Linked DNA regions of Drosophila melanogaster. The protein of the gene in region 3 interacts with the protein of the main gene of each other region in a pairwise test. Each region holds a gene or a part of one and is shown on either strand. Other genes may lie near its edges.

Region 1 (8,806 bases), on a different chromosome or scaffold from region 3:
GATGGAGCTGCGCTTCCTTAGTTTCTCCCAGCGATTTTGTTTTAGTTGTGTCTTCGGTTTAACTGGCACTTGAATTTGAGATGGTTTTTTAGATTGACCCGGATCGGAAGTCTCGCGAACCGTTTCCGTGCGACTTGCCATTTCCACATCAATGGTGTCAGCTTTACTACGACCACTGGTAAGTCGCCTCAGCATCTCCTGATAATGCGGTTGATCCGCAGTTATGTATTCCGGTTCGTCTTCGGGATTGAGAATCTGGTAGTTGGGGGTGCCCAGTTCGAAGGTGGTGAATTCACCATGCTCCACTTTGTTCTTCAGATGCTGCGGCGTATACCCATACTGCTTAAGTGGAGCCATCCACTTGGCATCCGCATCCGCAACTGTATCCTTTGAGCTTCCCCCCAGGCAGAAGCCAAGGGTCAATAGCAATGTGACCAGTAGTTGTCGTGTCTCCGGGCAGCCGACCATTTTCGCACTGATGCTCCATGGATGCATTGGTCAGAGCGTTAGCCAAATCCAATAGAATCGCCATCGACGACGTCGACTGCGCCGGTAATTGGACGCCCCCAAAGTGGCAGCAGCTACGTGAGATTAGAGGCATCTATGGGCCATGTCGCGTCTGGCGGCGATAGCATTAGTTTATGCTTATCACAGTATCGAAGCCACCTGTATCGTGACGCATCATTTTATGAGACATCAATTCGCAAATATAATGATACGAATTCACTGAAGAAGCCAAACACACAAGCGAGTTGAACTAAGTCAAGCATTTCATTCACCACTTTTTTTTTTTGGTTTTAATAATCTTTCACTTTTTTGTGTCACACTTGTGAACTGTCATAATGTGGTTTTTCTTCACTTGGCTTATATTTTTCTTAACTGATCTTCACACTTATATAAGTATGTTTGCAACACAACCACTACTCAACTACTCATTTTTTTTTTTATATCAATAAAATACCCTCACCCAGCTTTTAAGTATATTCCCTATATTAAAAAATCCAAGTTTTTGTGTTCCTCTGCGAACAGATTGAATGGGATGCATCTTTATTGTAGGTTAATGTAAGCTGTCTGTATGTACACTCAATTGTCTTAATTGTAACTAAATTATGATGTATGGCAGTGAGTTTTCCCGGGTCAAGACGGGTTTCCTAATGGGTTTATGCAGCTGAAGTCAGTCATTAGATCCTTTTAGTACTTGTACTGTGCTGTTGGTCCGGATACAGAGACATAGTTCCCGGCGGACAGCTCCTGCTTGATAATGGCCTTGGGGGCGGCGTAGTGGACGAGTGGCGCCACCGGTAGCACGGGAGTCAGGATCTTGGCGGCCAGGAGCTTCTTGGGTGGCTCAGGCAACGGTATCTTGATGTCCGTGGGCTCACGCTGGACAATTGCCTCGAAACCGTTGTGATCATCCGCCTTGTACTGCACTATGCGGCGATAGCCATCGGAATCGATCAGCTCGTAGACACCCTCGACCTTGTCGTCCTTGCGGGACTCCTTTTGGCTCTTGATGTCGCCGGTGTGGGGATCGTTCACCGACCACTGGAACTCGTAGGCCACTGGTCCGTAGTCCGGCTCCGCCTGCAATTCAATGGCCCAAACGGCGCTGGCCAGGCACAGGCACAACAAATAGGTAACCTAAAAGGAAGACACCACTCTATGCATTAGAATCCTTTGTATCGCACCCTTTTTCCTCCACTCCACTCACTTTTCCCATCATTTTGTGGTATTTTGGTCCTTTCAGAACTCTTTGGGTATTGAAATGCACTCGACAAAGATCGAAATCGAAGTAATTAATCTGGGTAGTCCTAGGCTGCTTATATACAAGCTGGCCAACTGATTACCAGGCCAGAGCTACGCTTCGATCCAACTTGGATGTGGCAATCCACCCAAGGCGTCGTGTCGCTTTGCGGCACGCGCCTCCCAAACAAGATCGCCGACCAAGTGGAGCGCGCTCATTAAGTGAGCCCCGAAAAATTATAATTAAACAAGAAATATGCAAAATGTGGTTCGCACCAGCCTGAGCCATGCACTGCAAAAAATTAGGAACCAAGTTAGGCTTCATGTCGAACGAAATAGTAACCATTCCATTCTCCTAATTCTTCTTTTCTAATGAAAACGACGTAAAACTCACTTAATATTTTTAAGAAATTTCTAAATCCACCGAATCCAAAATAAAGAAATTTAAAAAATATTTTTATTAAAACTTAAATTTATAAAATCTTGTAGTTTTTTTACCCATGACGCATTTGATTTTTCTTTTGCGACGCACATTCGATAAGCATCCAAATGAATATGCCGCAAGTGGGAGAGCTTGATGGTGATCTTAGAGGTGTCGCGCTAGTTTGTCTGGTCCAACCAACAAATGTGGAGATTAATTTACTTTGTCAATAATTTGCAACATTAGGCATTGGGCAACAAGGCCTCCGACTGCATTAAGTCATAAAAATAATTGTCATGTTTTAATGGATAGCGCACCACGTCGAATTGGAAATGGGATGGGAGGGCAGAAGTCGGGGGCTGGAACCTTCACAGCTCGGAGGCCAGATCCTTTTGGCAGGTGATCTGTCCGCAACTCGTTTGATGGCATTAGCAAATAATTTAATTAATCGCCATTAGACGAGGGGTTTCTCTGCGCGCAGTCCAAGAAACCGGGTTACTATATCGCAAAAGTTTTGATTTAACGCAGCCGCCGAGCGTGTTTGTCGAACCTTAAAAGCAAATTCTGGTATGTGCACTGGTTAGGCGTAGTTGGTTCGGAATCTGGGTTAGTCCAGCCGTCTAGTTATTGCTCTCTGTGCGTAAACTTAGTGATCAGTTTCATCAGCTTTAGTATGGCTACTTGTTATTATGATCTATTGGTTGGTTGTTTAGTTTTTGGCTGGGAGCTATGTGATAAGATTAATCCCGCCACTTATCCTAATCAACAGGCTCGCTTTCTTTCTCCAACTTGGCGCGAATTGTTCTTTGACAGCGGGATCTCAACAATTCCCGTCTTAGGGCATTGCTCTCTGTTTCCACAGTTTGTATGAGCTGAATACAAGGAACAATCAGACATATATAATTAATGAGAATTAGGATTAAAGCTTACGCTATGGGTTAAAGCAGCTCTTTCCATAGTTTCTGCGTCGGCATCATCATCCTTGGGGTCAGATTCACTGCTAGAGGAGCAGCGCCGGGCCTGCATAGCTTTATGATGCTGTCCGGGATAGTCTTCCTCATATTTGGGCGGTGGGTCGTCATCGTTGGGTAGCGAGGCCGGCAGACTGGTCGCTCCTTCTTCTGATTTTGCCTTAAAAGCGGCTAATTCGTCCCGCAAGGATTGGTTTTGCATTTCCAGTAATTCCACCTTTAAACGAATCATTTTTACTTAAGCTTGCTAATACGTTCTAAAGCGTCTTACGCTCTCAAGTTCAAAATCCATTTCGTCAATAATGTCGTATGACTCATCAAGGGCTCTTTGAAGTTTTTCTACTTTGGCCTTCAGCTCGTTCAATTCGTTGACATCGCTTTGGGCCGACTGCCTTTTCTCCATAGCCATTCGTTGCTCTAGTAGATTTTTAGAGTATTGATCTAATTTTAAGCAAAAATTCCATTTCCTAACACACCTGCATTTCTTTGATCTAAAGAGGACTTCATTACCAAGCCTGTAAGCGTCTTCTGCCGTTTAAACATCTCCTCCAAAGCACGACAACGTTTCACTTTCTCCAGATAAGCGTCATGCAGTTTGTTGTACTTCTTCTTGTGCTTCTGCAGTGTTTCCACCAGACGATCTCGTTCCTCCTCCAATTGGAAGACCATGATCTTGGCCTCCACATTTATGGCCGCATTGGTGCTGTGGCTGGCAGATGCGCGATTTAGTCGATGGCGCAGCAAAATGTTTTCCTCCTCCAGCTCCGCACTTCTGGACTTTGCTGCAAAGGAGTTTCAATACATGGCGTATACGCAACGACATTGCTCATACGCACCGGCAGCCAGTTCTGCATAGAGAACCTGCATGGTAGATGTAGCACGTTTCTCCATTTGTTCGATTTGTATTACTTCAATTCGTAGTGGTAAAAATTACTCAGCTACTGAAAAATCTTTTGTTGCTGAAAACAGTAAAGATAAGCTATCAGCGAGTTGAATTGCGTGGATATCGCTGGCAGAGTTACTTTGTTAAGTTATTCGATTGCTTACGAACATATAGAATCGATCAAATTTTAAGTCTTAACAATTTAATTAACACTATTATTTTTTTTACCTATGTGGAACCCAAATTGATGGAAAAAGTTTTTTGTATTAATCATCAGAAATGCTAATCAAAAGATAGGCTCGTTAAAAATTAATTATTTCTTGCTCGTCTTGTTGCTTAAATAACAATGTTAATTTAAATATTATATGGTGAACCAAATTTATAAAAAAATTTTTAATAAAAATGTTATCTATATTTAAAGTACGTTAGGTTTGTGTCTTGGATATAAGATACTTGCAAACATCATGGTCACACCATTTATGTAGTTCCCTAATTCGAGTACCATCTTGTAGGGGCGCCACTGTGCCAAAATTTCAAATAACTAAAAAATTCGTTAAAAATAATGTCTTTTAAGAAAAAACAAATTGACTTGTTTAATGCAGTTTTGGTTTATTTTGTTTTTCATTTTAGGAGTCTCATTGTTTTCATTTCATACATGTCCTTATTAGTTTATTTGCAATATTTCTCTAAGTAAAAATATGTATTCCTTAAAACACACTTTTTGAGTAAACATATATATGATATATATATATATGATCTTTTGCACCTAAGACTCACTTTCTGTAGTCCGTTTTAAAATCGCTCTTCAATAATGTATAAGTTATGTTGTACAAACACATATCCCGATACGAATTATTAGCTACGCGTAGGTACTTATTAACGTACAATTGTATACATATATTTCTTATATGGATGTATCTATTTAGTGCTCGAGGAGCTCCTCTCTGCCTCCTTTCCTACTGTATGTGGCTGGTTGGTGTAAACATAGAAATAGTTGCTACTAATTAACCTAGATTGCATCACTTAGGACTACTGGGGGTCTTGCACTCGGGCAGTGCGTAGGAAAACAACCGGATGGATCGATTGAATTCCCATTTCAGTTGAGATACTGATATTATCCGCGTGTATATTTAATTGATATTTTTAAGGCATTATCGCATTTAAAGTACATCATTCGGTTTTAAAATCTAGGCTAGACACTTGATTTTCTCGCTACCATTAAAACAGGGAATTTAGGATTTTTCATAAAACTATTCCAGACCTATTCTTCATTCGAACCCATCGCTATTTTGTCCACAAAGATTCTCTAAATGATGTATTTGCATAAGAATTACATTCAGCGTATTTTCACTTTCTTTCTAATTCAACGTTTTCGTTAATTTTTGTTTTCTATACTCACAAATTGTTTCACAGCACAATTTCCATTGACAATGGTTAAATGTTCGGATTATTAAAACATTGTAATTCGCTATTCGTTTCTCTTTTCTTTCGCCAACTGATTCTCAGTCAATCGTTAAACTTCGAAACCGAGATTGCATAAAGTCGAAATAAAGCGAAACGTATGCAGCAGACTTCAAACACTTAATCGACTTTTTACGGATCTAATCTACACTCCACTAAAATACAATACAAAATATTCCTATCACAACGATCTACTCCTACCTTAAAATATGCTAGTTGCTTTCTAGGATTTCTATTCTATCGCCTGGTTACATAAATATTATCTGCAAGGATTCGTAATCGTATCTGACTCGGATTCGAATTCTGGTTGAATGTTGTATATATCAAAAGATTTCTATTTTCAGATGCCTTCTATTAGTAGATTTGAACACTCGGTCGTAAGTACAATGAGCAGCTGAGGGACGAGTCACTTCATCAGGAAACGGGCATGAACCACATACACTCAAAGTACGATGAGGCGATTGCCGCCGGGAATGGAGACATTGCTGATGTTGCCACAAATCGAAAATCCTAGCTTATAGCTACATGGCCTAGCACTAAGCACACGCGGAACGCTCCTCCTCTTCATCATCGTTATCGTTGATGAGCTCGTTACGATCGTCATCGATCTGGATCTTGTGGTGCGACGTGTTTCGCGTGTGCTGAGGATGAGCGTGCCCTGACACCGAACTGGAGGCAGCAGACTCCGGCAGCACTTGATAATTTAAATCCTTGGAATTGGTTCGCCGATGTCTCAGCACACTTAGGCCCGTGGTACTGGCATCCGTTACTACCTGACCCGAAGCAGGAGTTGCACTAGAAATTTTGGTGTTCAAGTCCTTCGAGTTGTTGCGGGAATGTCCACGTGATCCAGCTCCACCAGCTTCTATTTCATTTGAATTCTTTAGCTTGCCCACATCCGAAACCACATTCTTTAAAACATTCACATTCTTTTTGGGATTGTGATGTGAATGGGGGTGTCGTAGGAAGTCCGCATCGAAGCGTATGTTATTGGGCATGTAGATTTGGTCGTAGCTGTGGTTACGAGAGTGCTTTTTAACGAAGTGTCCGCATCCGGTGGTCAGCTCTTCGTCATCATCCTCTTCGGGGCAGTCCTGCGGCCGAAGTTGGTTCTGAATATATCGGATGGGTTGACTGGGGTCGTGTAGGTCTGTCGAGTGATTGCGCGTGTGCGCCTGGAACTTTTTGAGATTCTTGTATTTTGTGCTGGCACCAACAGCATCCTGACCAGCCGCATCCGCAGGTCCGCTAGATGAGCTGTGATCTCGAGCAAAGCTCTTGATCATCTTCACGTCACAAGAGGCACTACGGAAGTGTTTCTTAGACTTGGTCTGTGGCTGGTTGCAGGTGTTTGCCGGTGTTACCACACGACCGCATTTGTCGTAGCTGCAGGAAAGACATTTGGTTAAGACCATAGTCCTTGAGTATAAATGTGAGATAGGACTTACCAATAATCCATATGCATGGTGCGTGAATCATTGCGGGAATGACGAAGTATATCTGTGGGTATGATCAGCTCTCCTCCACCACCAACAAATGCAGTAGACGGCTCGGCACCCGACAGCTTTTCTTCAAATACTGAAAAGGATAGATATATATATAATTATATAGATATAGATAATTAGTAATTTCGATAATAAACATACATTTGTCTAGGCTAATGATGGATCCGATTATTGGATCGCTGGCGTTAAGCGGCTTCATTTTCTCAAGCTGCTTTCGCCTTCGCACCAGCCACCAATCCACCATAAAGATAACCAAGGCAATCAGCTTTACAGATGCACACAGCCCAACATATCTAAAAAAAATTGAAATAGATGTTAATAAAACTTATATATTCATATATTTTATGATATATTCATACTTGTATCGGAACTTTTCAATGTCGTAGATGAGACAGCGACCGCCCTTCTCGCCGCAGGACGACTTCCAGAGAATGCAAGTAGAATCGATTAGATTTCCGAACAATATGGGAGCCGGTATGTATCCAAATAGTCGAAATATTACAAACTGCATGCCAAGGGCAAAGGAACGTTCCTCTTCGGATACCGATCTCAACACGATCATAAGCAGCGGCATCTGCGTAGAGGCCACCAAAAAGGTCATGAAGAATAGCAGTATGAGGAACGGGTAGATAGTGCGGCAAGGCGTGGCACATGGACCGGCAGTAGCTACCGGAACCACCGTCACCTCGGCAAAGTTCTCGTTAGCACTGAGAGCCTGGGCTTGGCTGCCACCAGCGCCACGATAAATGCTGCTCGAGATGTTAGCGCGAACACCTATAACATACAAATTATATAAATATAACAGGTATACTTTATATAAGTCACATTAAACTTACAGGCGCAATTGGTGTAGTTGGTGTTGGATGTGGATGAAAAGGCCGTGCAGCCGGCGTGGCAAGGACTAAAATAGGTAAGTCCATTGTTACCGCACACCGGTTCCACCTCACTGGTCAGACACTCACAGCCAAAGTTGCAGGCGGCTGTGAGGTTGACCTGGAAAGGCTGCTCCAAAGTAGATCCATGCTTGTTGCTGGTGTAGTAGGGAATCGTGGTGCCAGCCATCTTAAGATTGTCGCAACCGAGGAAGAATAGCATCGCATAACAGGCCAAGCAGATGACGTTCGTGATCAGGACAAATTGGACGGCACCCTTGGGCTTTAGTTGGAATCGTTTTAAAATACAGCCTCCAAGGAAGATTCCAATACAAGCTCCAGGCACAGCGATCGAGCCAGTAAAGATGTTCGCCTGACTCTTGCCCAGGCTGAACTGCGTCTCTAGGTACTTGGGCAGAAAGACCACGAAACCAGAGACGATCATCAGCTCCATGCAGGCTCCAAGGCAGGTCACGATGTATACGGGATTCTTTACCAGACGCAGCATTGACTGCGGAATATCCTTGATGTCCTTTCCATAGCCCGTGTCCACCTTGGGTGGCGCCTGCGACTGGTCCTCTTTGCTGGTCACGGCCACAATCTCCAGCTTCTTCACCTTGCCCATCTCATCCGTCGCCACAGTGGCTCTAGAGTTGTTCGGCAAAACTGGTTGCACTACGCTGCTCTTCCGTATCTTCTTCTTTTCGCGGGCAAGCACTTTGGGGAAGGAGAAGAAGGGCACAGCCACCACCAGCAGAATGACTCCGCATAGCAGAAAACCGCCCCACCACATTCCCACCCAACGTCTGTCGCCGGGAGCTGCAAGAGATCAATAGAGTTCAATAAAGTTTGACATTTTGTTGGCTGTCTTATTAAAAATGGATCCTAACAGGGATCATACTCACTGATCGATATAGTGGTGGAAGATAGCGAGTCCATGTGGAAAGAAA
Region 2 (7,390 bases), on a different chromosome or scaffold from region 3:
ATATGCCCATGCATAAATGCTGGGCTGCCGAAGGGGAAGGGGGGGGGGATGTGTTGGGTTCCAAGGGGCCAAAGAGGCTAAGAGGCTAAGGGGCTAACGGGCTAACGGGCTAAGGGGGCACACGGAAGGACTCTCAGGTCCTCCGGCAACGACAGCAGCCAGAAGCCAGACACGAAGCAAACATATTTCATGCAGTCTCAATTGGAATTCTAAATCAATCAGATTGAGACGACGCCGCCGTCTCCACTCAGCTAACAGCTAACCAGTTCAGTTCTGTGCCGTTGGGCACTGTTGTTACACAGCGGCAAAAGTTGGGTAACTTTCATTAATTAAAATATACACAATATTTCATTTGCGATTTCAATTGATCACAATAACTTGTTCTTAATATTATATTGAGCATACTAATTAATAATTTGATGAAGCATTCCCACATTGAAATTTTGAAACTTTTCGTTTCGCATAGTGTTCAAAATTCGTAGGACTCTGTGCATTAAGTAAGACACAAATCATAATCGTATGCGTGGTGGGAGCGGGGGAATTCCGGGCGAAGGAGTGGTTATATCTAGGTGCCAGCTGGGCAAGGATCTGTGGCCTCGGCGTCGTCCTCGTCCTCGTTTCCCGTCCTGTTAGGAAATGCAAAATTTCAAATATGAATTGAACTGATATATTAATGGCCACTTGAGTTGCACTCTCTTCAGATCCTGGGGACGTTTGTCAGCCAAAAGTAACTGCAGCTTCCTGGGGGAAATTTCGAAAATGCGGAAGGGATGATGAGGTGGCTGTTGCTGGTGGTATAACCTGCTCGGTGTTGGCATTTATAAATCAAAATTTTGGGCCAACAACCTGCAAACATACGCACACCGAAGGACATTCTGCATCCGTGTATCATTGTATCTGTGCTTGTGTAATTGCCAGGACCTGGACTGCATCCTGTTTTGGGGTGGGGGCTGGCGGATTGGGGATTGGGGATTGGGGTTTTGGGGTTCTGTTTTAAGGGGGTGCCACAATTGCAGCAACTTATCTCTCGCCTGCCCATATAAATAATGACAAGCACGACGACAAATAATAACCAAACGCACACAGGACATGCCGCAGGACAATAGGCCTGGGAGAAAAATAGGGTCGAGGTAAGGACGACTACTGTCTGTGAGTGAGTGTGCATAATATGAAAATTTATGTGCGGAAAGGATTGAAAATAAATTTATGAATTATATTGGTTAGAAAATTGCATCTACTCAAGGATATCCTTAATGTCTCCAGGATATGCATGTGTTCAGCTAGGCTTGCTCATTGTTTTTGGGGCTATCTGTTACATTCAACAATGTCCTGATTCAATTTATTGTTTGTTTGATTTGCATTCTGACCGGAGACACTCGCCAGATATGTGCCTGTATATCCCTCTATAGTCGTATATATAAAGTCCTGCGTCCTTTGTGCCATTTGATTAGCGATAACAGCTGCAATTTGCGCCGAAAGTGCTTTTCGAATTATCATTGACAAAAATAAGAATCCTAAAAAGTAACACACGCAGCCAAGGCTTATCGTAAAAATCCAATAAAAGTGGGCCACAGAATTCGGTTTGGGGACTTTTATGATTTTTTCCCCTGTTCCTGCTGACATTTGGTAGTTTATGACTGGATTTGGTTTCGATGCAGAGAGAACAAAAAATAATTCAGTTCAACACGTTTTAACTTTATGCGTACATAATAATAATAATAATAACATTAGTATCTGCTATTTGTATATCTTTTAAGCATTTTAAAAGGAATTTTAGTGTTTTGATATAAGATTTTATATTTGAGATTGCTTGCTTGCTATGTAGCAATGTTTTTTTTTTCAGTGTTGCAAATATGTCAAAGTTCAGTAACCGTATTCGATGGGGGATTTTGAGTAAGGTAAAAGGAACTGGTCATAAAACTTTCCCGACACGTTTATGCCTATCTGGGTTGTGGATCTGAAATCTCAATGCCAATCCAAATATATATCCACATTCTGTGGCAGTTCATCAAATGCTCGACGACAAGTCACGAGCGCTGCAATCTGGAGTGGCTTATGGCATTAGTTATTAGTTGGGGGGTGGTTGGTATATCTGCTTATACAGGAGGATACATTTCATTAGTCAGACATCACAGGCGCATTTTACAGAGACGTGTTTCACTAAGAGACCATGTGAATAAAATGAAAACGGTGTTTGGTACTTTTGGTAAAAAAAAAAAACAATCACCAAAGGCATAAATATTACATATCTCTAGTTTCTCGAAACTTTTAAAATCGCTCAATAAAATTCTATTCGCATTGGAATAAACATTGTTACCTCGACCTAGACCCAAAGAATTAGGTTCATTTGAACTGCAACCGATTCACAGTTGTATGATCGAAAATGAGAGAGCTCCAGTGCACATGATAATTGCAGACGAGTTGAAATAATGTTATTACAAAATCAACACCTCAATTAGATATTTAATGTGACACACCAATTACGCAAGCAATTACAAATATACTCTTAATATATTTGTTTGAAATCGGTTAAACAATTGGTGGCCCATAAAAGCGAGGTGTTCGAGGCCAATGTCAATCATTCCACATCAAGATGCGTTTCTGTCTACTGTTCCTTTTGGCCATGAGCTGCTGTCTGCTGGTAACTTAAATGCTCGATAACATTACAGATTGCGCATATTCGAAATATTCGTGCCCTTTATTCTAGCAATTCTCCGTGGCTGGAGTGAATTTGGTGCGCGGACTGGAGGCTGCCGGTCATCATCGCAACTTCACCGGCTCACCACCACCGCGTGGTGCTCCTCCACCACCTCGGACCACCACCGCCAGTTCTTCGGGTTAAATAAATTGAAAGCAAAACACGAGAAAACTGGCAAAATTTCCATTGACGGACGATTTAAATGAAACCTACCATTATGTAATCCTATAGCTTCAAAAAATATAGAAAAACCATTCCAGCAAAAAAAAAAAAAAAATAGTTCCAGTGTTTTAAACCACAGTTTTAGTAAATATTCGTTTTTATTTATTCGTAATTGGCAATATATCTATCTTATCTCGTTTTAAGATACTGAAATGAATTCATTGAAATATAAAATTCTACATTTTGCACAATTTGCATCATTTATTATCTAAAATCTCTTCGCTTTTGTGAGACTTTCATTATTGATATGTAACGTCTGAAACCATTTGGCCGGACTTCCCGCGCGGCGATTAAAATCGGCATTAATTTGACAAAAGTTCAACGACAAAAAAAAAATGAAATTAAAGCTATCTGATGTTGGAGAGAAAATACAGTATACATATATAGGCTGGGCCATACCCTACATGGCCCATGGTCAGAGGTGAGGCTGCAATTTGTGATCGTATTTGTTGATACAACATATCCAATTGTCCGTCGTCATTGTGGCCAATTGAATGGAGCTGCAAGAAAAGCGAACTATAAAAATGAATGGAAGCGCCGTTGAACACAATCAGTTGTTTGGGGGAATTCTCGGGCCGAGGATCACGATGAGGCAATCCATAAAGCACATATTCGCACTGTTGGTTGCCCTGGAGTGTTTAAGCCTTGGCGACACGGCGCCCATCGGTGAGCATCCGGATCATGCCGGATGTATACGGATAACGATCATCAAGCGACCATTGGCCACCACCACCACCACGACAACAACAACAACTACAACCACAACAACCACTACAACCAGAGCAACAACCACGGCCGCTGGTTAAAAAGGAATATTCTAAATTCAACACAAACAATTTGTAGAAATACACTTAGCTCCTCTGATCAACGCTTAAGAATAGTTTCCAAATCTTATAATCTATGGTTTAACAGTATATATCCAATTGGTTTCTTGAATACCATACTATTTTCGAAATTCTACCTTTATCGCAGGGTAATCTTCAATTTATTCTGTTGAAAACGTTGTAATGCCCATTCCTGCCACTTTTCAAATGGAAAAGGCATCCGAAATCATTGCATACTTTGCGGCAGACACTCGAAATGCAATTTCAGCCACGCCCACTCCCCAAGGTGATGTAAAATGGGCTAAAACGGCTGTGAAAGGCCACCGCACAATGCACAAACGAAGCTGCCGAATATAATTAAATATTTTATCGCATAAAAGTGCCAAAAATGAAACGACAACAAGAAAATAAGCAGCCGGCATGCGTTTTTCCATCTGGCTCCTCTGACCATTGTGCTTTGTGTACACTACAAAAAAAAATATAATATTCCGTATACTACAATTTCGAATCATAGTATTCAAATAAACTTAATTGGATAATTACTAACAGCAGCAAAAATAGTTTTAGCCTTTAGTTATTCAAGCTTTAGTGGTAGTACTTATGTCTTAAGTATTTCGATGGAGCATTTTTTTCAGTGCTTTTGGCTATATGTGTGGTGCACAGGTAGAGACCACCCCTTCGTTCCTCTGGACCTTCACTTGTAACCCCTTTTGGAGCTCTTCTAATTCTATAAGCTGACATTGTTTTGGCAGGGAAAAGATTGAGGGAAACTCGAAGGGGAAGGGGATTGTTGGAGGAACACATGTTCCCCGCAAACAATAAACCCGCAGCTCGGAGTCCCTCTTTTTCGACCACTGCATTTCTTGGGTCTCTTTTAGATGAAATCTTTTGGTCAACAACAACATCAGCGGGCCATTGTTCTCGCCTTCCATTCTGTAGTGGCTGCTTTTTTCGACAATTTCCATATGAATTTTAATTATAATTTTTCTATGCTCATTTTCATGAAAACAATCAAAAATGACTTTTGTGCCGCTTGCCCGCCCCTCCCATCACAAAAAAAAACAACGAATGTTGGTTGAGGGGCTAAAAGGAGCTTGAGGTGGGCCCGTTGCAAATTGTCACTAGCATTTATATGGCCACCAGGCATCTGAAAATTAGGAAACGGAACTACATACGCGAAGGCTTTGTTTTTCGAAAATTATTGCATGGTAAAAAGTCCAATAGTTTATATACCCTATAATTTCGAAATATAGTTGAAAATTATAACGTATACTATTATATAAAAAAAATATTTGCTGACAGTTCTTAAAGCGAAAAACTGCGTGAGAAAATATTATATATTTGCATAAAAGGCAAGAGATTTTGCATAGAAATAAAGCTTATTATTTATTTTAACCATTATATTTTAAAACATATTTTTACAAGTTAATGTCTTGAATCTTAACATAGGGTTCGATCAAATGGTTCAAATGGTATGACTTTACTCACAACAAAAGGGTAATGAGATTGGGATGAGGAGCAAGCAAATTATATTTGAGCATAAAAAGTAACACAAAAGCAACACGGCGACATAAACAAGTTAACAGAGCGAGGAGTTGTTGGCTTTTGTAGTTGGCAGTTTGGCACGTTAGCGCTGCCAGCTTCCGTTTCCTGCCGTGGCCAAAAAACAATCCACCCATATGACAACTGTCGCTGTGCCCCCCTTGGCCTGGCCCCTGACCATTAACCCCTTAACCCCTTAGCCCTTAGCCCCTAGCCCCATAACCCTTAACCCCTGTCACTGGCCATGCATACAGCATAGTTTTTGAATATACCGCGAGATGGCGCACCTGTGTCATCTACGCTTTTGTCCAGATTTTATAAAAACAAAAAAAAAAACCAAAAAAACTAAAAACCAACACACAGCCCGGAAACTGTCATTATGCATTCTGATGATATTTTCGCCGCCGTCTCTCCTTTGTAGAAAATTATTTTTGTAGTCGGCTAATTAAGAGACAAAAAACCATGGGAGTGTGTTGTACCTGTATATGGCAACATACCATATGTCGTCTTCATCATCGATAAAAGTTTTGAAGCAAGTAAGTAGATGAAGGAGTTGCACAGACTGAGGCAAAAACTAATTTCGCAAACATTTGTCAGCTCATTAACAATTCAATTTGCTGCATAAACGACCTAAGCATACAAATAAAGATGGGCGTTTTGTGACCCCAACGAAATAGTTGGGCCCACTCGGATGCAGACTGACCGACCGAACCACACATGAAAAGCAGTAAATATTCAATTAACGGCACAGGGTAAAACTAATGTGAAAACGGAACCCTTTGGGTTAGCCACACCCCTTGTTGGGCGCCCCCACCCAACCCACTTGACCTTGGCCAGACAGAGTTCACTGCCCAATCACTTGTGCCTGGCACTTGAAAGCGGAACGAAACCCTTACTTGAAACAGGGGTTCTCTAGTTCTGGTCATTTTAATAGCCGCTCGCTCGCAGAGTATTAGGGTATACTAGATTCGTTGAAGAGTATGTATTAGAACATGTAGAAGAAAGCGTTTTCGACCCTGAAAAATGTATATATTCTTGATCAGCCGAGTCCGTCTATCTGTCCGTATGCACTTTGTGATACTTGCTATGCCGAACATTTTCCGATCAAGTTCTGCAAGTTCTTAAGCGAATCGATAAGAGTATAGAAATCTTCGACTTTGTAAGCAGCAATTTGTTACCCGTAGTTTTTTCTTCCTTGTGATTTTCCGTCTATTTGGGCAGCCGGCGTTTTGATTTGTCGGGTCAGGTTATATGCACCCAGACCTGGTCCTTTCTGCACTTGCCCATTTTTCGAAACCTGGGCCATAACTGCGGGCATTTTTCTAATTACAGAGAAAGCAGCACAGGAAACTGCTTTGAACCCATTTCGTACAGGAGGACACAGGAGCCCAAATAATTATGAATTGTGTTTTATTTTAAATATTTGCTAAGCTACCGAAAGGAACTTTGCCAGGATGATGCCGGTCAGCCTTCTACTACTCCTTCCCCTTGAACCGCCATGCAAATCCCCTTTACGTTTTCGTCTCCTGTTTGTTGCTGGATTTTTGACCAGAATCTGGTATCTTTGATCGGCGATGGCGACGTCGCTCTAACCAGCGTCTCACAAATGGTGTGAGCAGACGTGTGTCAACTCCATCCAAATCCGTCTCCCGGAGGAGGAGACTTGTGACCAGTGCCACTACAATCGTCACCAGGGCTCCAAAAAGCGTGAAATAGAGATACGATATGCGATACAGCTGGAAGGGAGCACTTGGAACGGAACTGCACAAAATAAATTAAGAGGGTTTAACGAAAGTCCGATTATTTTGTAGATAAATGCTTACCTGATGGCACCATCTAATGCCAGGCTGGCAAACTCGCGTGGTTCTCCGGCAAACGTATAATTGCAGCCCATCGTTGAATATGGTTTCCTCTTATAGACGAGATCACCGGTGACCAGATCCCGCTGGGCACTTACACACATCCAGGCCATAACAATAAGTGAACTGAATCCTCCGAGCAAAGCTCCTTTAGAATTAACCCATGGCAACATAACTCCGGCGGTAAATATACCCAAGAGTGGTCCATTTGCCACCGACGAAAGTGTGATGGTCAGTTGCAGAAC
Region 3 (7,940 bases):
AGCGGAGGTCGAGGTACAAACCCGGCGGCAACCACCCAAAATTTGACCATGAAATCCCAACCCAATAGCAGCAACAACTTTTTGCCAAATCACGGAGCAAGTGAGTGCCAAAATGGCAAGAACATAAATCCCAACTACTACTACAATTCCAACGGCAGTTCCAAGGTGAGTACCCAACTGATAAACAGACTGATCCATAAAAATAATCCCAACTATCTTTTAGGTAAATCAGCAACAACTCCAACAGTCGCAACCAAATCTCCCACCGCAGCTATCAGGCCACAACAACAACAGCAGCAATGGCAGCCGGGCCAGCAATATGATTAACACCAGTAGCCACAATAATTGCAATAGCAACTTTCACCCAGTCGGTGAGAAAAACTCCAACGACGTTTCATTTATATCCTCCTATCGACTTGGTCCAATGGATGGCCAAAAGAGTGCCAACAGCAACAATATCAACAATCACACATTAGGCAGTAAAAACCACAGCAACAACACCACCACAACCGCTTCAGTGCCCAATATGCTCTTAGTAAGGTATTGAAATGCGATATTATCGAACGCAGAAGAGAACTCCTTCGTCCTTGCACACAACCCACACTAAATCGATGTCTTTGGACAATGCAAATGAATACACGGGCTTTATGTGAATCCGCTTGCTTGCTTCTAACATACATATACCTCTCCGCTTATCCGTCAAAGTTCCCGTATTGATTTGCATTGATCCGAAAACGCAAAAAAAACCCTTTCGATTATACACCGCAAATCAAAGACAAGAACATCTCTCTAAATCCAAATTAACATTCTCTTACAGACCTGCTAATCCTTCGCTACATATTGGCACATTTCCGTTCTTGCCCGTGCAGTTTTTCTGAACCCAACAGATACAAGAACTACAAGCAGAACAAGCAAATCGAAAAATCACATCAACATGAACATCACAGAAACTTTGTACACTTGAGTTCATAAGATTAGAGGAAGGCGTAGGAGGAGTATTTACAAAATGGACAAAATGAACTTTACGATATATACCACATACAAAACATATACATAACAAATATATTTATACATATATTTTTGCGTGCAAGGATTAACGTTTAATGATGATGAGGCTGGATCAACAAATCGAAAACCATACTTTCGCGTTGGCTATAAAACACAGACGAAACTGTGTCCAGTTTTTTATCTCTATTTACAAACCATCTTAAAGATACTAAAGAGCCTGAATGATTAGTGGGAGCTGTATTCGGTCGGGAGTGATCAGTAGTTAAGCACACGGCTCAGCTCAAAGTTGAGCTGGGATAGTCTGGCGTACAGATGATACAGAGCGAATCCAGTTGATACAGCAAGACAAAGCTATGTATAGGGAAAGAAGGACCCGACTGACGGTCGGTAGAGACAGAATCTATGAGATTAATTAACTTAATAGAATATAATAATAAATACAGAGGGCACACTTAAACCATAATTTTATTTATATATGCATATATTTAACAAAACTAACGATACAGATAAAGAATATATATATATACACTTACAAATTCTAATATTTACATAATTAACAGAGATCGACTAACCCCATGTTGACACGAAAGGTAACAGAATAACCCTAACAAAAATTATCTAATACTCGAGCATTCAGAATTAATATATCGAATACTAAAGAACTACAAATAACTAACAAATTACAAAATATATACAAGTTTATTGTGAAACAATGTCCATAAGTGGATAGTGCTGCAAATGATTACTTTATTAAAACACCAGATACGAAAACAATAACAGAGTAAAAAAGAATACTTAAACGCAAGCGTAAGCGTATGAATAACAAATACTCCATTTACTTATACACGAATATAAAGTTCTAACTAAACCAACAATGTAACTCAATACAAAATTAACGTAATAACAATGTAATTCAATGTACTTAACACATTTAACCCATGACGCTGGATAAAGCAAAGTAATTAACCCAAAATTTCGTTTCCTCAATTGTTCAAAAATGAGTCGTCTGCTTTGTCCAGTTGTCTCCATTAATTATACACTGAACTAACAAAAGTAACAAAACTAAACATAACTCGTAATCGACAATTTGATCCGTTGCCAAAACTCAAAATTTCGTTTCCTGTTTTCTCACTTTAGTTAGTTTTTAGATTAATGAGAATTCTCTGTAGAGCTTAAGTAGAACCAAGAGAGTGTGCCAAATGTTTGTAGGAAGGGATTCGGAGGGAGTGGATGGCAATGGACGGATCCCTTCCCGGTCTGAAATTACCAATTGAAATGCCAATTTATAGATATTATCATTTTTAATATTTATGTAACCTAATTTGAGTATCGAGCGAATAAAGTTGGCATTGCTAACGCAATGAAATAAACATATACTCGAATTCGAATAAGAAGATGAATAAAACGATATCTTGTCCAAAAACCTTAAGAAACATTTACTTACATACAACCATGTGAAACGTTAAATTGTTAAAAACAATTAAAATCTAGTTTTAATGAAATATCAGTAATACAGATAATACAAAGGAATTACAACCATTTATTACAAATAATTATCGTTGTTACAAATTATACAGATAACTAATATGAAATTATAACAAATGCTACTTTAGGGCGATTCCCCAAGCCCCCAGATAATTTATGATACCAAGTTAATGAAATAACCGAACAACAAAAACACCCCGCCCTAACAACAATAAGAATATATACACTTATATGATATACATACCTACAAAATGAATTCAAAGAAATAATATATGGCGATTGAGTTATTCTCATTAATTATTATATGTAAAATTAAATAACACAAGTAATAACTAAATGAATAAATAAATATATTTAAAATGTATCGAAAATCGATGTAGTAGAGTGTTTTTTTATTCCCAGCTAGGATGGAACCCCCCAATCTTAATTAAAACCTCTTCCTTTATGTTTTACTTTCAATATACATAATTTATTTCGTTGTTGCTTATGTGTTTTATATTGCTTTACAATAATTGACTAGAGTAAATAGCTTAGGAATACCCAGATCCCTGTGTTGCATAATTTCCACCCCCGGAAAGTTCGCAACCCTTGGTTTCTCTCTCTCGTTTTACTTGCAATGAGATCGCAGCAAAGTGACTAGAATGAGGAGGAGTTCCTGCCCTCCGGTTTGCTCTCAGGCGTGCAGAAGTCCATCGCTTTGCCCAACCAATTTCCCAAGGAGAGTCTGGTAGAGTGGCGACTCCGTGGGTATTCCCTCGCTCTGCAGAAACAGCAATGTTTCTCTGGCACACATGGCAAAACCCAGTGCCTCCGCCTGACTCCTTTGGGCTGGCGTCGGTGGCGCAAACTGGGCCGCCACCTCGGCATCCTCGTCACTTTCCTCAACATCCTCCGCTTCAGCTCCGGCAGCCGCATAGCCATCTCGATCGTTTAGATCCTGCTCAAAGGCATCCAGCTCCGCTTGCAGCTCCATTATTTTTTGCAGCGCTTCCAGAAGGATTCGATTGGGGGCATCTGGCGGGTTGGGGCAATTCTGCCCTGGCTCTTCTGCTGGTGGAGTTAGAGGACGATGGCGTTTCTCCGGAACCGCTTCAGTCGGTTGCTGCTCCTGTTGCTGTTCCTGCGGCTGGACACGTTGCTCCTGCGCCTGCTGCTGCTCCTCCTGGCTGGCTCGCTTGCGCTTCATGATCAGTTTGCCCGACATGCTTAGAGGATGATCTACTAGACTTAAGCTGCAATCGTTTGGTTTTCCAACTCGCTCCTGCGCGACACAACCTTCGTTCACCTGGCGATCGCCACGACTGAGCTGCGACCAACTGCACCCCGGCGACCAACTGGCAACTGCCGACTCCAACCCCAAAATGCGGCAGGGACCAGAGATAGTGGCATTAGGGGATGTGCCGCGCCAAGGAAATTAAAAACAACAATCCATCGGCAACCAAAAAAAAAAAAATTGTTGCAGCTGTTTGAGTTGCGGCAGCTGAAGCGGGAGGGCAACAGGATACTGGCTACAGGCCACAGCCTGAACGGCAGCAGCAGGATATTGCAACCCTCAGCTGGCGCTGCCTCTCTCTCTACCTCTCTCTCTCTCTCTCTCTATCTCTCTCTCTCTCTCTCTTTCTCTGCCGCTGCAGCAGCCGCGCTCCGAATATCCTCCCTTCCTCCGTGCATCCGTCCTGCACCCCATCCCCCCGGGATCACAGGCGCGCCCTGCTCGTCCTTTCCGACCTTTCAGTTGTTGTTGTCCCGTGTCCGTTTCCTTTCGGTGCGGCATAGCCGATTCCCAAGTTACCTTCCTATGTCCTTTTTTTTAATAGGGTTGCATTGAAGGGTGTGTGCGAAAATAAAGCATTTTAATCAAATTTTCTTTTTTTTACATTTTAAAGCAGACATAAATAAATTATCAATACCTTACAATCTTGGGTAATCAAGTTTTGAGCGTATAAATTTTCATGAATTTTTTTTGAATGTATAAGTTGTCAATTTAATGACGAATTAACTTAATTGCTACAAATAAACGAATCTGGACTTTTAATTCAGTTGATTTCAAATGAGTTTCGATCTGGTTTTAGCGAACAACGACCGATATATGTAATTGCTTAAATTGCTTTTCTTGGCAAAACGTGCACTGCTGACGCACTTAAAGAATAAGTTATTCAGGTTAGACAGTTAAGCTATTTAGGTAATATTTAACGTATCCGTTAAGCATTGTATTCTACCAATAAGCTACCTAAAATTTTGTTTGTGAACTTTGATCACTTGAACTTTGATCACGATGCTTCTTTACGAATATAGATTTTCGTATTTGCATACAAAATTCGTTTAATGTGCATATTTGTAGGAGATTCCCCAGTGCGGTATGCCCGACCATGATAAGCATTTGCAGCTGGCACGCTTCACATTCATCTCTTCGATCGGCACTTCCCCTGCGAGTTAGTTTGACCTGCCACTGCAATGATAAGTGCACACCTAAAAGCACTGCGAGAAATTTTCGAATTTCGTTGTCATGGAAATTGGTATGCGGTATGAGTTAGTTTGAACGAAATCACGTTTACCTCCGTTGGCATGGAGAACCAATTCTTATCGGCTTTATTGCCGATTGTTAACGTAGTAAAGGTGGAGTGGTCCCAAAATGCTAATCGATAATGCTGTCAAAATTTGGAATGAACATAATTCGCTTTATGGTTTATGTCCGCGCATTGTGTAATCATGACCATAATTTAAAATAAAGGGATTTATATTTTGGGTTTGTTGGAAGGGGGAAGGGGGGAGTGCTGAAATATAAGATGACACCATAAATGAAGAATCTCCTGTCCCAAGAAAAAAAAAAAGAAACAATCTCATTGATAGCAATAAATGTTTATTTATGGTCAAGGAAATTGGGCATTATTCGATTTATTTGGGGCTGCGAATTTGACACTATCTCAGCGAATTGTTGTTTCGCAATTTCGGAAGGGGCATTTAAATAATCACGCCCAGACGTCAAGTCTGTGAACTTATGATATGGATGGATTGGATATTTGCATTTAGTATGTCGGCAATGGTGTGTGTACACATTATTTACTTGATAAGCACTTGATGTTGTTAAGGGCGTATCAAAATTGAATCATATATATTATTTTTATCTCATTTTTATCGTACACTTGACATTGTGTAATATTGCGTGCTGGTTTTCCTCTCCCCATTTCAGTTAAACTTGGCCGAAGCATCTTCTATTTATTTTCGAACCAACTCAATTGCTGTTGTATCTTGTATCTTTCGGATATATTTAGGCGACATCTCGAGCAGGAAAGTTGTACCTTTCCCTTTCGTTTTTGAGTTATTTGCCCGAACACAGGCAGCAAATAGTAAATAGCAAATACATTATCCACAGCCGCAGCTGTCGTGTGTCTATTGAGCCATTATACATACTATATGATTGAACAGTTTGAGAAGCACGCGACAAGTGGCAGCGGATAATTTGGGGATGAACTGTGGCCCAAAACCCGGCAATTGTGATCATTTCGTGTGGGTAGAACTTCGCAGTAAACTCATAAAGTAATTTACGCGGCTGTTGAGTGAAATTCATCTTTCCAATATTTATCTATCCTTCCATTTTGGCGGCCATAAATCTGTGCAACAAGCAGGCCTCATTGTTCATCAATCGAATGTGCCTGAAAGTTCGCAGAAGACACTTGCTTGGAATTTTCGGGAAATTAATAACAAAGATCGGCTTACTCGGCACAATCGGCGGACTGTTGTTAATGGTGCGTCAATAAACATGTACAGTAAATACTCTAAATATAGGTAAGCAACCATGTTGCATATAATTTCGTGACAGTGAAAATGTTTTACTATGAAACAAAAGTGCAAATATTAATTACAGATATAGATATTCCAAAAATATCCTTTCGAATGCGTGATCTTTGATTCATGTGTTTAGATCACTTACAAGTAAATGCTGTTTGATGCTAGAGTTACGCCGAATGTAAATTCTCCGTAGCGAGCGTGCACTGTATATATTTTTTAGTACAATCCATATTTCGGCGTGGGAATGTCACGTTGTGTTTAGACAACTGTTGGGCCAACTACCTGCCTCTGTCTGAGTGGCTATGAGTCAGATAAATATATAGCCAATTCACCATTATCTGATCTATAACCGACGATTATCGCGCGATATGTCTGCTTCCGATGGCTTCCAAAACATCGAAATACAATGGGGTAATGCAGAAAGAGCATCGCATTGTCATTCTCAGCCAATTTAACCCGCAATCGCAATACGAGGCCTTATCGTAATCAGTCCGCTTCGCGAGGCAGTAAATTTCGGTTTTGCTGTTTAAGGTACTCGGCTTTATGTTTTCGGCTAATAACGGTTCTCGCACTCTCAGCCAATTTGGTGGGTCAGTCAGTTAGCCCGCGGACCGTGCGACGAGTGCATGTGAGTAGCGATCGTTGGTATTTGGTAATTCGTTGCTTCTGAAGTAACATCGATCGGGCCTTTTTGAGCCGAGTTAGCTTTTAGGCCAATGCCATGAGCAAGCTGAAGTTCGAGCTCGTTTCCGAGTTCAATCGAAAACCAGTTGACCGAGTGAAGTGGACCGCGATGGCAGAAATTTGTCGAGCAGAATGTGCTGGGGATTTGTGTGTTTTTTTTTTGCACACGCAAAGTGATAAGCGGCGATTAGATTTAAAACACCCAATAAACTATAAATTGCGATTTCTGCGCGCTCGTGATTGATAAATATTTGCCTCTCAGCAGTGGATTGGTGATAAGGTCGAAAAGGACCTTCAACAGTCTAAGTAGAAAATCTGGTTAACAACGTTTGAAGTGTTTCCATTACATGTGTAAAACCATTCGGATAAGAAAACGAACTAATACTTAAAACACGCTTCATTAAGTGGCAGTGCATTAATTTTTTATTAAAATTTTTAGATTTTCATGAGTGCAAAAACAATGATTATGACAAACCAGTTGCCGTGCGCGAATCAGTGCTTATTCACCGAAGATTATCCACCCACATTTCATCCCTTCGTGTGTGATAACTTATCAGCGATTGTTGTGTTTATTGTTCCAGCACCAAAATGTTACCTGCCCGTGGTCTCCTTATCGGATCATGCTGCCTACTGGCTCTACTGATTCATCCTGTGCAGCCGAATCCCATTGCACCCCGGGCGGAAGTTGCCGCCGAGTTCATCATTCTGCACAACAATGACATGCACGCCCGATTCGAGCAGACGAGTGTGACCAGTGGCACCTGCTCCAAGGAGGAGGCCAATACGGATCAGTGCTACGGAGGATTCGCCAGGGTGGCATACGAGTAAGTGCGGTCAGTTTGCCTAGAGTTCAACTATTCATGCTGATGAACTTCAACTAGGGTGCGAAAGTATCGCAAGGAGGCGGAGGAGGGTGGAACTCCAGTGTTTTATCTCAATGCAGGTGACACCTATACCGGAACTGCTTGGTTCAC
Region 4 (7,704 bases), 7.1 Mb from region 3:
TTGTTTTTCAGATGTATTAGAAAAAAGGATTGTGACTTTAGCCTAGACATTATAAAGAAGAAGATAGGATGCTTAAAGAAGGATCCATTTTGAAAGGATTGCGGTCGAAGAAAGTACTGGTGTAATCTTAAACCTTAGGCATAATGAGTGTTAGGTTTTATCAAGTAGTTTACGAAATAAACGTCAAATACTTAACTCACATCCAAAGGCAACACAGGCCCCACTGTTCTAAATTTCCCATTCGGCTAACATCATTTTTCTGATTTTTTTTTTGGCGTAAAATTAACACGTTATTAGAGGGACCCTGTGATTGCGCGGACATCTAATCCATAATCCTTTGAAGATGTGCGACAAGCCCGCCTGCCCCCCGCCTCCGCGATGCTGTCCTCCGCCACCGCCTCCCTGTCGCCCGCCGCCCACCTTGTGGCAGAAATTGAACTGCGTTCCGTGCAACCGTTTTGTGTTCTTCATGATCGGGGCGGGCATCGGATTATTCTGGGACCATATGAAGAAGGAGGCCCAGAAGGCGGCCGAGGAGGCCGCGAAATCGCCCAAGGAGAAGGAGAAGGAGGCCAAGGAGCGCGAGAAGAAGCAGAAGGAAAAAGAGAAGGCCGAAAAGGAGAAGGCGGAGAAGGAGAAGAAGGAGAGGGAGAAGAAGGAGAAGGAAAAGAAGGAGAAGGAAAAGAAGGAGAAGGAGGCCAAGGGCAAAGAGAAGGGCAAGGAGGGCAAGTAACGACTATAGACCCCCAAACGGACATGTCAAGGAGCAGGATGTTTTCCCCCAAAATTCTCATCGAATCCATATCGTTTCTAAACTTCAAAATTTTCAAGTGCATTATATGGCATACCTAACGATAACTATTGGTCAGTCCATTGCCGCGTTGATGGAAGGCTTCTTTATTTACTATCTAGTGTCCACCCTTATAATTCCAGATCAAGTAACAAGATCGGATGGGATATTTAACTGGAGAGAGGAAATGCCTTTGCGAAATTTGGATAACCATATCAGGCTTAAAATTATACATCACCCGAAAATTGAAATTTACATTTTGGGTTCGTGATGATTTTGAGATATGATCATGATCTATGTTCTTACCGCTAAGGCTTTCTAATACGTTGATATTCTATTAAAAATTGTACAATGAATACACACCAAATGTATTGCCCTCTGCAAGGACCCAAAATTAGTAAATTTATCTAAAGTTATTCAACAAAAATTTGAGAATATTTGTGGTTGGTCAATCAGACTTTAATTATTATACAAAGCATAAGATTGCAATTTTTAATTGTAATAGGCACTTAGTTATCGGTAAATTCGATGTTCATTTTCATAACTCGTTACTCGTAGTTTCGTTTAAAAGAAAAAGAATTAGAACGCGTTTCTTGATCAAGATCAATAAGGAAGTCGATCAGGTGCTCTGCAAATTTTGTTACAGGACGATTAATGAAATAATCAAATCATGTCACTAAAGTACTATTTACAAACATTTAGCGAACAATTGCTCCCACAGATTTGAATAATGAGCCCATATTAAAAACACAGTAAGTCTTGTACAGCACCAATTTTATAGCATTTTCAACAGAGGAATATATAATAGAGAATAGATCAATCGAATAAACCTGTATTAAATGTGGCAGTTAATTGTTCGATTGACAAATTGCTCTTTAGATAAATTTATCGACTGAGAAATTTCCTCTCCATTCCATTCATCGGCGGACAAACTTATCGAATGGCATTTTGTCTTCCCTGGCTAACGCTGCAAACGGTTGGGTAACTTCATGGGTGATGATGAGTCCAGGTTCAATTAGCTAGTGCCAGGCTTGGATGATTGATATTACCGCCGGGCATGGCAGATCGGTCAGTCCTACTTCTTGGCCTTGCCTTCGTCCTTCTTTTTGCCGCCCGACTTGTCGTCCTTGTTGCGCACGAAGAGCACGCCCAGTCCCACCCCGATGACGAAGAACAGGACGCGGTTGCACGGCGTACAGTTGAGCCTGGCAAGGAGCGACGGCATCGGCCGGCACACCCTGCGGACCTCGGTACGCTTACAACAGGGCATGGCTGCAAAAGCTCGACAGGATTTGCCACAATTTAGACCAAAACTGGAATCGCTGTCTGATGGATGTTAAATTAAAACCAAACACGTTATAAATTTTGTGTACGTCGAAAGTCTGATATACTGATTGTAAAGCCAAATAAACACTGAGCTATGTCAGAGCTGCCGCGTTGACAGGACGTTGAAGTGGCTCGAAGTTTGCCGACTCGACTACTAGATCAAAGACATAATCTTGCGGCTTATGGCTCATTTTCGCACAATAGATACGCACCTAAGAAGATCGTATTGATTTCTGCCAGTCTTGCGAGTGATCGGTCGGTCTACTTCTTCTTGTCCTTGCCCTTCTCCTTGGGCTTTTCGTCCTCGGAAAAGGTCTTACCGTACCACAAACCCACTAGGACGCCCGCAAAAACCGCAGACAATCGCTCGCACATCAAATGCATGGTGTTGCTAGATGATAACCAAAGGAAGACGTCGGTGTCCTCAGAACAACAAATGATTTTTTAAATTTCAACAATTTTGAATTTTTCCAGATTCATGGAAGTTTGCTGCTGTGGCCAAAACGGATAACTGAAAAGTGTCGGCACGAAGTTTCAAAGCCCATTAACCCAAATCTCACAGCCTGCTTTGAAGCACTTTCTACACAATATAAATTATTGGGGTTGGCGCGCACTTAATTAACCGAACGATTTCAAAGGACAATTTAATTAGGTGGGATTACGTGTGTCCCTGGGCTGTGAAAATGCGAAATTAGAGTACCATTACACCACCTCGGTGAGCAACTTTTATTGAAATCGCTGCGTACTTTTGTCGCATGCAGCACTGTGCGAAATTCAAATCAGTTGGGGGCACAACCAAAATAAGTAAATACGAATTTACGCAGCGAGCTTTAAGCCATTGTCATTTGACATTTATCCCCAAAAATTAAAGATACGATGTTTAAGATGATACAATACGCATTCTCGTATAATTATTTAAATGCAAAATCGTTAACATCTGCTTCAGAGCATGTGATAATAAAACCATATAAACATAGCTCTTTCGGAAGCGTTATCAGCGGCCATTTACTTCAAACTTTTCCTTTTCAAGCCAATTGCATCGTCGACGTTGGAGTTTTGCTCATGTCTACTAGTACGTTTTGGACTAACTAGAGGAGAAATTCGTTTAAGAGGACTTGCACATACGTATCGTATTGTATCGTCTAAATGGTGTGATTTTTCCACCCCTTTTTAGCTATTTTCTTATCCCTATTCCTTGCCTTTCTCCTTGCCCTTGTCCTGGCCACCATCCTTCCCCTTCCCCTTATCCTTCTCCTTCTCTTTTCCCTTATCCGTGCTTTTGGCCTTGTCCTTGGCCTTATCTTTGTCGCCTCCATCCGTAGGATTTTCGCAGGGGAAGTTCTGGGCGTACCAAACGCCGACCATGGCACCAGCCGTCAGGGCGGAGAGTCTGTCGCAAAGCATCCGCATCTTAGGGAATAAAAATCTAGCTAATCGGGGTATAAAATTTACAAATTTTGGAAACCTAAAATTTTTAAAATTTTGATATGTGATAAGGCTGAAATAGAATGGATGGAATAGCAAAGCCTGCCTGACGGCCAAAAGCCTTTCTAAATTCGGCAACTTAATAACCAAGAAATAATCTGTAGAATAATATCCAGAGTAAAATGAATTTTCAGCTATTTCATATGTAACATATGTTCGTTGTAAAGCTTTCTTGACATAACCACATTTTTTTCAAAGTGACTTGAAAAATCCCATTTGGTTTATTTATTTACACCAGAGCCGCACCAAACCACACAAGCCATAGAGTGCCCAAGTTTCTGAAGCTAGTTCGCTGTCACTCAGCAGCAGATAAAACCGAATGGGTGAGGTAAGCCATGAAATCCTTTATTGCCCCACTTGTGAAAAAAGTAGTTTACCACCACTTGGTGCAGTCAAGTCCAACACTTTACATGCTTTGAATAAATGCTTCTATCTAAAGGCAAAAAACGTTGATAAATATTACATAATTTGTTCTTCACTCAATATTTCTTTCTTTTATAAACAGCCCTTTAAAATAAATAGTTGCGCAGGACTCAGGGAACATATTATTAAGTCATTCCTAATGACAATCGATAATTCAGAGTATAGGCACCATACTCTACTTCTTTAAGATAAATTATTTATAAATTATCATTTGTATTGTCATTTTACTTAAATGTGTTTATCAAGTTGAGCATAACTCGATGGCACCCGCAGATCGGAGAACCCAACCATCGAAGCCACGCCTTCGACTCCACTCACCTGGGGATCTGGAGAGCGATCTCGTCCAGACTGTCCGAGGGGCTCATCGGCGTGCGCTCGAAGAGGCGCGAGGGGGCCAAGGTCAGGTGGCCGGTGGAATCACTGACACACTTGAACACCTTGGCCCCCCTCCGCTGGCGTTGCTGCTGGCGCTGCTGCTCCACGCGCTTCTTGCGCTTGTTCTCCTCGGCGCGCTGCAGGTTATGCAATCGAAAGAAGAACATTGACATTCTGCGGGTGGTGGTGGGTTGGTTTTGTTTTGTGGGTGGGTGGCGGATGTTATGACGAGTTGATTGCAGAAATAATTTCAATTGGTTGGTTCAATGGTTCGTTATTTGTTTTTGGGTTGATTTTCCGTTGAATTTCGCCGAGTCATTGTGCACAATGTTTCGATTATTTTTGTTGAGGGAGTTTTAATTGTTTTCATTTTTTTCACAAATAGTTTTATTAATTTTGTAAGGTATTTCGCATTGTTTGCAGGTCGATTTCAGTTTTTATTGGCATCGAAAGCATGAGTTATTATGAAGCGTATGGAAAAGCACAGCGAATTTACAGATACAATATATGAATTGATTTTATAAAAGTGTTCTGTGGTGTGTGTTTATGTTTGGGAGCTTTCTGCACTTCATACAAAATAGTATTTACAGAAATTATAAATTATTAACAAGGCATTAAAAATAATAGCTAGAATAAAAAACCAATAAGCTCTTGGTGATTTCGAAAGCAGAAAAGAGTGCCACAGTACATAAACCACATATATATGAAAACCATATTTAGCTTAGGATGGTTCAACAGCCAAGGCAAAGAAATTAATAATAATGATTCACTCGGCACTCAAACAGCTTAAGAAATAGCAGCACATTTAATCCCAGCAAGCCCGAGATTACAAAAGCAAACTAATGGCAAAGCTAAATCAAATAGAGAGCCATACGCTCGAGGGCGCAAACCAACTTCCGCAGTATCAATCAAATTTAAAGTGAAATAGAATTTTGAACAAAAAATGTGAAATGTGAAAAACTTCCCAACTGACTGAAGGCAGCAACAAAGTGGCAACTGTCCGCAAACGGAGGACCATGGCTTGAAAGCTGAAATGCTCCTTCCATTCCGGAAATTGAAATATGAACCGCATTCTGGGCGACATGTCCACGTCCCTTCCCCAAAATGCCGCCCAATGTCCTTGGGAAAGGCAGGAAATGGCGGAAGTTCTTTGGGTAAGTCCCGATTTTCAAGGATCTTAGGTCTGTAGCTCTCATTACTTTGATATTCCTTATGCACGAATCCAAAGTCAAGTTTTGCTGGCAAATTGATTGATTGATCGGCTGCAATCAGCTCGTATCGCGAATACATATTTGCCGGCAATGAACCAATTCTCTTGTCATCAGCTCGAGATTTCCGTTCAATTAGCAGGCGAGTTGCCTCCTTAACGAGCCTGTAGGAGTGGGAACCTCTCGCTTGTGTCAAAAATAAATTAATCGAAATTTGCATAAATTTGTTTTGGTCTGAATACAGTGTCGCGTCGTCTGCCCCAATACTCCAAACACTCTAAGTGATTGCGTACCCGAAACTTAATTATAAAAGCCAATGAACTGGAATATGGGCGAACCCTCCGCATCATCATTAGCTGGTCCTCATGAACCACTCCATTTGGTTAATTGCATTGCCAAATATTAAAAAGTATCTCCTCCATAATGACAATGGGATTAACAAACAAGAAACGAAAGTTAGTTCCCCGGCATAAGGCCTGTCAGAAGGTTGTCATCATCAGAAGGCTGTGTAAGGAATGTCCGATCCAACTATTAGAAATATTGTAACATTAACCATATAATCCTGTATGCCTTGAACATTGCAGCTTATTTGAAAGGCTTAGGAAACTTGGTATCAATGAAAAATTGATTGAAAAATATGCCTAAAATCTATACAAAAACCCAGACAAAAACACGTCCTAATCCTGACAGAACAGCCAAAATAAAAACCATGTGTGCAACAGAAGAGGCGCATATTGAAACCACTACTACGGAGGTCTCATTCTTCTAATCCTCAAATAAAGATGTGCAATCTACCAAAGCAAACAGAAGATCCGAAAAACCATTGGTTTATAGTTAAAGATATTTGCGGAACAAGTCATAAAAACCAACGTTAGGATTCCACTTATTCGAATATATGCTTTTGAGTGCTCAGATAGATTTTTTGAGTGCATTCATATACATCTAAGCTTTTGTGGTTTTTCTTTAAAAAGTAATTTAAAGCAGAAAATATTTGAATGTCCGACCAGCTGCACATGTAATCCCAAACATTTATTACGCTTTAAAATGACGGCAATCCAAGTCAATTTGTGAATAGGGAAGGCATGGGGATGAACAAAGCAAAAGCGAAAGTAAATTCCTCCTCATAAATGAGTGTTCATCCATCATTAGAGCGTATGAGAATGACCTTATTAGTACTAATGGAGTTTAACACTGCCCATTTAGCTATGCACATGCCACCGTAATTAAAATGAAATCCAGCCATAATTCCTCAGCTTTAAGTTTCAAATGCTTCAAAGAAAAGCTAACTCTGTGTTTTATAGGCCAAATAGTGTTTTTTGTGGAAGCTAACTAACTAACTATTTGACACACTTGAGAAACCGTGTTATTAAAAAGCTAGACCAATTGCAATTTTACAGGAATTATAAAAGCATCACAGTGTTCTTGAGTTAGCTATGAGAAATACAGCAGGTGTGTTTTTGTTTCAAACTTTTTCAATTATTGTGCGATCCCTCAAAAAGGATCCTGGTGAGTTCCGCTTTTTTTGGTGCTTTAAGGTTGTACATTACTCCCAATTTCAGATGTAAACTACTGCACTTTGGGAGTGGTGCTAATAAAGTATCGAATGATGTGCTCACCGCTGCGCTCACTTTGGGTCCTTAGAAAAGAAAAATGTGTAGAGGCTCTTCATTGTTTAGATGGATATTCAAAAAAAGAGTGCCAAGATAATTGCCTTAAAAAGTCAAAGAAAAAAAAGAAAGTCATATTGAGTCCCGCAACAAAACCCCAACTAAAAACGAAAGAAATTCAAACAACCATAGCCAGTTGTGCAACGATAGAGGTGGAAATTAAAACAACTACTGAACATTATGAGCCACCTAGAGAAGAATTTTCACCATCTACCAGAGAAACTAGAAGACCTAAACGAACTCGAAGAACGAGACGTTATACCATTAAAGAGATATGTTAACAAAGATAATTAACAAATGAACTAAATAATTATAACCACAAAAAAAAAACTAGGGGAACGAGAAAAAAAAAGAACGAGACGTTATACCATTAAACAAAGATAATTAACAAATGAACCAAATTATTATAACCACAAGAGAATAACTAAAG

What was found.
Region 1: the proteins of insb (region 3) and CG17855 interact in a two-hybrid assay, tested with the Drosophila melanogaster proteins (one large-scale study listed by BioGRID).
Region 2: the proteins of insb (region 3) and CG15036 interact in a two-hybrid assay, tested with the Drosophila melanogaster proteins (one large-scale study listed by BioGRID).
Region 4: the proteins of insb (region 3) and CG42733 interact in a two-hybrid assay, tested with the Drosophila melanogaster proteins (one large-scale study listed by BioGRID).

Annotation. Positions count from the first base shown.
Region 1 is NT_033779.5:9,535,864-9,544,669, reverse strand, and holds CG17855 (uncharacterized protein), read right to left. Parts: upstream 4,148-8,806; 5' UTR 4,027-4,147; coding exon 3,972-4,026; intron 3,918-3,971; coding exon 3,612-3,917; intron 3,553-3,611; coding exon 3,407-3,552; intron 3,353-3,406; coding exon 3,095-3,352; intron 3,037-3,094; coding exon 2,923-3,036; 3' UTR 2,190-2,922; downstream 1-2,189. Other genes in the region: CG13113 (uncharacterized protein), read right to left, coding at 1-495; Cpr30B (cuticular protein 30B), read right to left, coding at 1,192-1,641, 1,712-1,723; Oatp30B (organic anion transporting polypeptide 30B), read right to left, coding at 6,016-6,865, 6,928-7,057, 7,126-7,277, 7,344-7,758, 7,821-8,675, 8,762-8,806.
Region 2 is NC_004354.4:7,420,930-7,428,319, reverse strand, and holds CG15036 (uncharacterized protein), read left to right. Parts: upstream 1-3,477; 5' UTR 3,478-3,507; coding exon 3,508-3,726; 3' UTR 3,727-3,793; downstream 3,794-7,390. Other genes in the region: CG32726 (uncharacterized protein), read left to right, coding at 2,594-2,641, 2,708-2,842; rumpel, read right to left, coding at 6,798-7,047, 7,110-7,390.
Region 3 is NT_033778.4:17,472,270-17,480,209, forward strand, and holds insb (insensible), read right to left. Parts: upstream 4,004-7,940; 5' UTR 3,698-4,003; coding exon 3,167-3,697; 3' UTR 2,945-3,166; downstream 1-2,944. Other genes in the region: veil, read left to right, coding at 7,555-7,790, 7,848-7,940.
Region 4 is NT_033778.4:10,353,173-10,360,876, forward strand, and holds CG42733 (uncharacterized protein), read right to left. Parts: upstream 3,629-7,704; 5' UTR 3,527-3,628; coding exon 3,316-3,526; coding exon of another isoform or gene 3,305-3,315; exon of another isoform or gene 3,205-3,304; coding exon 3,122-3,204; 3' UTR 2,999-3,121; downstream 1-2,998. Other genes in the region: CG46298 (uncharacterized protein), read left to right, coding at 344-733; CG12902 (uncharacterized protein), read right to left, coding at 1,866-2,060; CG43397 (uncharacterized protein), read right to left, coding at 2,378-2,500; CG43396 (uncharacterized protein), read left to right, coding at 7,041-7,113, 7,167-7,555.